2 linked regions of the Drosophila melanogaster genome follow. The protein of the gene in region 2 purifies or fractionates together with the protein of the main gene of each other region. This does not show direct contact. Each region holds a gene or a part of one and is shown on either strand. Other genes may lie near its edges. The genes, in order: CG43342 and CG14710.

Region 1 (3,376 bases), about 11 Mb from region 2:
AGAAATAACTCTGCAGTTATTGGTTTGCATAGCAGAGATCAGCAGCTTGGAATGAGAATTATCGCTGCAACCGATGGTCACCTCACACAGCTTTCCCTGTGCCATCTCCATGGCACTATGTGCAGACATCATAGAGTAGCACGGGATACCCAGACTCTCGCTAATGGCGTGCGAAACAAGCTCAATCCCCTCCCCATTCTCGCTCAACAATCCTTTGGTCATGGAAACAGCAAAGGCCGACTCCTTAACATTACCAGACAGAATGTTGCAGTAGGATTGCACGAACTCCAGCGGGGTGGAAAATACCAAGATATCTGCGTTCTGGGCAGCTTCCAAAAGATCATTTACAGCGATCTAATACAAAAATATTTTGTATAATGCAGATACCAAAACACTGCAAGAATTTCCTTACCAGGTTATTGGGCAGCTTGATCCCAGGCAGATACTTGACATTCTCGTGACGAGTGTTTATGATCTCCGATAGGGCAGTGTCCCGAATCATTTCATCGTAGACATATAAATGCACCCGGCTGTCGAAGTCTCCCTCCAAGACATTGTTGCTCACGACGGCGGCAATGGCCGAGCCCCTAGAAAAGCCATTTGAAAGCAGTTAAATGTGTTTTAGACTTGGTAATTGAAAGAACTTACCAGCCCTCAGCCCCAATGATGCATATTTTCAACTTTCCGGCCATTGATCCAACTTTAAATTAACGAACAACAATAATTTAGGGCCGAAACGCGACCAAATGACCGCCTAAGTGTTAACTGGATGTAGAATGCTTTAAATTTTTATTATGAATTTTGATAGTCCAGAGTTAGGTGGCGTCCAAATGTGAAGTGTATAGGATGAGTTAAGGTAGTTGAAAGGCAAACACCCAACCTACTTTACGAGCAGGGACGAAACTCGTAAACAACCCCGGACGCATTATCCATTCTGTTCTGGGCCCGCATTTTGTGCTCCTGCTGGGCCTCCATTTCTGATATGGCGCGGATTTCGAACTCGGTGATTATCTGGGAGATGCGGCTCTTGGCTTCCGCCGCCAGTTTGGGTGGCAAGCCTTTGACACTGATGCAGGCGCTCTCAAAGAAAAGATCGTAGCTGTTTCTCTGAGGAACAGGGGAATCAGCCGCCGGTGGAGCTGCATTTGGTGAAGTGACTTCATCTCGCTGGGAGCTCAACCTTTTGAAGTACGCCGACAGCACTTTACGGTCTTGTTCGATGCTCTCGACAAGTTCCTGGCGGTTCTGCGGCGTTGGCCTTGAGTAGGGTAGCTGTCTTTTCTGTAGGGCTACGTTGTTCCGTTTGATGAGTAGCAAACTTTTCCTCTCGGTCTGCAAATGCATAATTTCGTTTAAATATTTGTAAATTTAAGGGCAACTTAGTAATTATACCTCTATATGATCTTCTTTAATGTATGAAGCTTTCTGCTCTTCGTTGTCGCCATTTTCAGAGGTCGTTTCATCATACACATTTGAAGTGTTCCACATTCTTATGTTATGAATATTTTGTCACTTAAGCCTTTAAATTGCATTAGCTGCTTCAAATTTAATAAACATTGGAAGAAAACACAGCCGCGCTTTGGAGATGGCAGTAGCAGTAGCCTCTAGCCTATCGATAAACAGTCCGATACCATTTCTCGCACCTATTTTGAATAGTTTGATTCGTATATCTAACAAATAAAGTATATTTGCATTGATCTTATAAAAATCGATAACATTTATTTTTAAATTTAAAATTAATGTATGCCTCTAAATTCATGCTGAAGGACAAGGGATTGTCATGATGGGCGCAGTGCGAGCGATTCATTAGCTTGAGGGTTTGGATTCAGTGCGTCCGTTTGGCTGGTTTCACTGAGGCCGCGAAGCTCGAGCTCACAGATCAGCTGCGATACTCGCATCTTGGCTTCCGCTACCAACTTTGGCGAGAGGGCTTTCACGCTGGAACTGACGCTTTCGAAAAACAGATCCACATGATTCTTCTCCTTGGGCGGCGGTGTGTGACTTAGGGTCCTCTGGCTTCCCATCAGCTCGCGGAAGGATTCCATGAGTTCGTTTTTGTCCTGGTGGATCTGCATTAGTAACTTTATGCCCTCCTGCTTAGAGGCAGAAGAGGAGCTGTCACTGCAATTGGCATGGCTTGACGGGGGTTCGGTCATCTTTGTTGTGACCTCTGTCTCTGATAAGAACTCCTGTTTGGGTACTGTCACCTTCTCACTGGCTGCAGAACAGAGGCTTTGATCAGCAATGGCCATCACGGGCATAGGCTCTGGAGTGGAAGGCGGCTCCAACTCGTGGTTCTCAGCCAAGGGCTCCATCACTACCAATTTACGCTGGTGATAGTACTTGCTACGCTGCTGGCGAATCCGGAACTCCTGGACCGCCGCGCCTTCGCCCTTTGTGAGCAGAGCCTCCAGATTGCGCTTGTGCTTGGTGGTTCGCTCGTGCCGCACCAGGTGGCATCGATTGCAGTCCATGGTGCACTGGCAAGCGCGGCAGAATGGCTTGTTAGGATCCTCGGCCGCCCGTCGGAGCCATGGATCGAAAATCTTGAGCCACTTTTCGCAGAACTTCTGGTTATATTTAGGTTTCAGAGTTCTGTGCTCCTTGTCCAGCTTTAAAGATTTCTTAGCAGTCCGCGCCTTTAGCATTTTGTCTGTCTTCCTATAAGCGAAGCATTCGTATAGAATTTGAGAGTTTCCGGCCTCAAGGACTTACCATTCAGAATCGGAGGTGTTTTCCGAGAAGCTCATTTTCGTCTTTTCGAAGTTGTTTACAATGGGTTTGTTGTGATGTTGTGATTATAGGATCAGCTGTTTCAGGCAAGCGTCATCGGTAAATACTGGTTATCGATAACAAGGCGCGAAACTTTAAGAGAATGAATTATATTTACTTCGATTAATTCACCGAAGGCAAACAAACACATTTAAAAAAATAGAAATAATACTAATAGCTAGTACAATTAAGTTTATATAGGTAATTTATTTTGGGTGTATTTTTTTTAAGATATATACAACACAAAACATTTATATAGTAACATTTGTACAATATTTTTAGGTATTTACTTTATTTGTTAAAGGCATTTGTTGGTGGTCAAATTATGAATTTAATTTAAGTGCTGCTTACAATATTCCCAAATAAATAGTGATCCAGCCACATGTACATTTAGAGAGCGCACTAAGCCATACTGGGGAATTTCGACGGCGTAGTCCAAGAATCCAATAAGGTTCGCTGGTATTCCATGTTTTTCATGCCTGAGGAGGGATGCAGAACAATAAGTTTTCAAAAAATACGCCCAAGATGTTGATTACGAACCCCAAAAGAAGAATGCTTTTCTTGGGAAACTTAAAGTCAACAAAGTTTGTGCTGTGTGCAGTTT
Region 2 (4,361 bases):
GCTACGGACAGTATTCAAGAGACAAGCGAGGATTACCATAATCTAGAGCCAAGTGCCGACTACGTGATAGATCTAGGAGTGGCCTGCGAGCCGGACAAGTACAGATGCAAGATCTGCAGCAATACATACCGCTGCTTATCTCAGCTAAATGCACACTCGCAGGTGCACCGCAAGGAAAAGGACCACCAGTGCGAGTAAGTATCCGTGATATATCTTAACATAATATTTCATATATAAAATGTATGATTCAGGGTTTGCCAAAAGACATTCAGAGCCGCCTGCAACCTGAAAACACACATGCGGACGCACACGGGCGAGAAACCTTACCAATGTTGCTACTGTTCGCGCCGTTTTGCCGACAACAGCACTCATCGCAAGCACGAACGGTAGAATGGACAAAAACTATATATATTGTGTACAGCATTTAAGTTCCAATGTTGAATTTCTTCATTTCAGTTTGCACACGAATGAAAGACCCTATGCTTGCAACATATGTGGAAAAACATTCTCTCTGTCCTCCTCTCGTAACGCTCACTACTACCTGCATTCGTCTGAAAAGTCTCACAAGTGTCTTATGTGTAAAAAAGAATTTCGGCTTAAGCACCAACTTACAGCGCACGAGAAGTCTCTTGCGCACCGTCTGATAGCTAAGGAGTACAGCGACGTGGTAGAATAGTTAATAAAAATAGCTGGTCTATTCTGGAAAAGTGGCTTTATACTACTTATAATAGATAACCCTAGTTCCTCAATTAATTTACTATATTAGCTCTCTAACATTTCCGGAGAGCTGGGAATGGTTTGCTCCATTTTGTTGCGGTGGGTTAGCGTTTGCAGGTGAGCTTTCAGCTGGTGCAGCAGAGTGAATGACTTGCAACAGATACCACAGCTGAAAAGTTCAAATTATTAATAAAAAGTGCAAATCACTAGAAAGGATTACTCTCCCTTACTTGTAATTCTTTTGGGCGGAGTGCGAAAGGATGTGATTTTTGAGGATGGCTGTGTGCGTAAAAGTTTTCCCGCACTCCTGGCAGGCATAAGGACGCGTGTTGGTGTGGACCCGTTCATGGCGGACCCGTTCGCTGCGATCGTAGAAGTGGCGGTCGCAGTACATACACTTGTATGGACGGTCGCCCGTATGACGACGGATGTGTGCTCGCAATTCGCCCATTTGTCGAAAAGATTTATTGCATATTCTGAAAGCAATAACATTTTTGTAGGATAAATTTGTTCCTTCCTAAACCTTAATATCACTTACTCGCATTGGTGGGGCTTGTACTCTGAATGGGTCATCATGTGGGCCGTGAAAACAGATTTCTTGTAAAAGACGTTTCCGCACAGGATGCACATGAACTTCTCCTCTTCCTTGCACTTTGGCTGGTTCCCCCTTTCCTTGGCGTTGATATCCTTGCGTTTGAATTTCAGTTCGGCGTCCGGTTTGCGAGGCCTTCCCGGCTTTTGTTTGTCCATTTTGAAGCTGGGATGTGGCGAAGGAGCGCTTGACATGAGAAGTTCCTCGTCCCCGTACTCAACCTCATAAAACGTGTTTGCATTGGATAATTCCTCGACAAGCTCACCCTTATCATCAATGAGTTCTTCCATTTGTTGATCATCAACGTAGGAGTCCATGTGGGAAATCAGAATCTGCTCAGGACTTTCCGTATTAGGCTCTTCGTCCTCCTCAATCGATTCGTTTATGATAAATCCGTTAAAATCGAGAACTTCCTGGGACTGATCCTCCTGCTGTTCATCCCCCTCCTCTATTGCGGTGATCTCTTCCTTCTCCTGATTCTCTGTGCCTAGTTTCAGATGTAGGTTCTCGTACAGATACAACATATACTCGGCATCGCTTGCCTGGGCAAGAGCCTCTGGTCTCTCCGAGGAACTTGTTTCCCAGTAGACCTGCGAGTTCAGGCACATCTGGCGAAAGTTGAACCACATTTGGACGAATTCGCAACAGCTGTTGCAGGCCTTCTCGGGCAGCTGCGGGGATTGGCGAACCTGGGGGAGTTGGAGTAATGAAATGATACATATAACCCATCTGGTCAGCTCCATTTACCCTAATCCTACAGCACAGCTCCAACTTTTTCCTGAGGTCACTTTCGCCTTTATCCCCAAACAGGCAGATCATTTGGCTCTCTTCGAAATCGCCCAAGCAGATCCTGCATTGCAGAATCACTGGCAAGCTGGCCATCCTGGCTAGCGTTTTTTTGCAAGGGGGCTGGAAATTAAGGCTAATTTCAATTAAATGAGTTTTAAACAATTTTAGACCTGCGCTGTGTGACCGCATTTGCCATGAAAAAAATACCTACAAGTGTTTTAAATACATTTCAGTTTAAAGTTACCATTAAGCCTAAACTAGCTATCAGCTACGAAAAAGCTAAAAAAAAAATACTGAAGCCCCTTCAAACTATTTATAGCGCCGCCACTGCATCTGTGGTATTATTTAGTGCCTTTCATTTTCGAGCCGACGGCGTGATTTAGCGGCTCGGCGGCAGCCACACTTAATTCGCCTTTCGAACTGAACGAACGTGCCGCGGCATCTGCAATTTTCTGTGCATTTCCACTTGCATTTTGTGTGTTTCACTTTGTTACGTGTGTGCCAGTTTTCCATTTAATCGTTACCGATCGTCCAATAAGCGGCTACAGCGGCAAAATGATCTCTAACTTTGATTGCACCGATAATCAGGCCAGCAGCAAGTAAGTACATCAAATCAAAACCAAGAGCAGTTGCCGGCATATTTGAAAAATAATCTACGCGTGTGCATGTGTGCGTGTGGGTGTACACGATGGTATTGGTTGGGATTTGCAGATTTGCAAAAACAACACCGAGTGCCGTTCTTTGCTTCTTCCTTTTTTTTTTAACGTTCCGTTGGTTTTATTATGTGCTTCCACCGCGGATTCTCTTCCTACTTCCGTTCCGAATTCCTTCTCCTTTTGCGCTTTCGCAGCTCTATTCGCCCAATGCGTGTATTGATCTTTTATTGGATTAACAGTTAGGTGAACTGTTCGTTTTGGATCGGCAAGGATTGTGATGACGATTCCTATTCGATTTCGGAACTCCATTTCCCGTCTGTTATGGACTCGTTAGAAAACGCCCTTAACAACCGATATTTGATATGTGTGCTCCGTAGGCAACCCCCGCTGTCAATATAGGACCTCACTTCTCACAGCTGCAACCGGGAAAATGACCATTTTGAGTAGTTAGTACATGCACGGGCATTTCTGACTGTGTGCGTGTGTGTGAGTACTGCACAGTGGTGGTTCTAGTTAAGTGCACACTGCAATGTCAGCAAGTGTGCCAGTTTGCCTCCCCCGCCCACATTATTATATGTACATACGTACATATATCACATACTATATCTAGCACATCAGCCGATGGACATCTCGAACCCTGACCCCGCACCGCTCCCCTCTTCTAATGCCTTTATGACTGCAACCGAGGTGGCGCTTGTTTTTGTGTTTTCCATTCTCTGTGCCAGTTTTCAAATTGGTCATCACTCCACCATTGTGCCGGCCATCAAACTAGCTGAAGTAGGCGAAAAACTGTGGCAAACTGTACAGGGCCCACTCAAAAGTGTAAATCAATAAAATATGGGCCTTACGATACTCTATATATCGTTAATTTTATTGAATGCCTTCCAATTTCTAAACTAATTACTCAGAAATTGAAGTTTTTAGTTTAATTGTCGTTCTCTATTTATCTTCCTGGTATATATACAGAAATTAAAGCCATTATAAGCAATCTTATAGTGTTAAATTACTACGATTAGTTCTCTATAATCAGAACATATCCTAATAATTGTGTAAATTGTGCATTGAGATCATATACCTCTATCCGTAGGAGGGAATTCTTTCATTTCCAGTAACATAAAAATGCCATGGAAATTTATAGATAATTTCCCAGCTATAAAGCAACAATCTAATTTTAAACGGTAAATTTAAAAATCAACTCCTTGGCTATTTGTGAAAACTAGTTCCTACGCACTTGACCTTTGCCACATCTGCGGATTCCATGAGTAAATTAGCCAAGTATGCGAGCCCTGCTCCAAATGACCTCCTTGAGTCACTAGGAAATCTGTTGGCAGCTGTTTTGGTTCGCACTTATCATTATATTACGAATAATTGGCGCGATAGATGATGAGTAATTGCAATTGGAGTCGATGGCGGCGTTCTCGTTTCTTCGTCACTCCCTGCCACAGTGGTGGCCAGTGATTAAGGGCACACTCCTGCCCACCGGACACCGAAATTGTTGTTTTCCCGGTAAAAAAGCCGTGTCCACAATATAACACAATATGGGGGATACTTTCTGCCCCAATATCGTCACGTGCCACATTCGGTGCTTAACTATATTTAACTATAGT

The links.
Region 1: the proteins of CG14710 (region 2) and CG43342 purify together in Drosophila melanogaster (affinity purification with mass spectrometry, with the first as the bait; one large-scale study listed by BioGRID). This does not show direct contact.

Annotation. Positions count from the first base shown.
Region 1 is NT_033777.3:22,379,541-22,382,916, reverse strand, and holds CG43342 (uncharacterized protein), read right to left. Parts: upstream 1,578-3,376; 5' UTR 1,489-1,577; coding exon 1,393-1,488; intron 1,333-1,392; coding exon 886-1,332; 3' UTR 770-885; downstream 1-769. Other genes in the region: Gpdh3 (Glycerol-3-phosphate dehydrogenase 3), read right to left, coding at 1-354, 413-587, 649-692; CG34149 (uncharacterized protein), read right to left, coding at 1,779-2,661, 2,716-2,750; CG18596 (uncharacterized protein), read right to left, coding at 3,104-3,251, 3,313-3,376.
Region 2 is NT_033777.3:11,618,040-11,622,400, reverse strand, and holds CG14710 (uncharacterized protein), read right to left. Parts: upstream 2,312-4,361; 5' UTR 2,192-2,311; coding exon 2,057-2,191; intron 1,999-2,056; coding exon 1,256-1,998; intron 1,194-1,255; coding exon 948-1,193; intron 936-947; exon of another isoform or gene 887-935; coding exon 763-886; 3' UTR 677-762; downstream 1-676. Other genes in the region: Zaf1 (ZAD and architectural function 1), read left to right, coding at 1-194, 252-386, 457-676.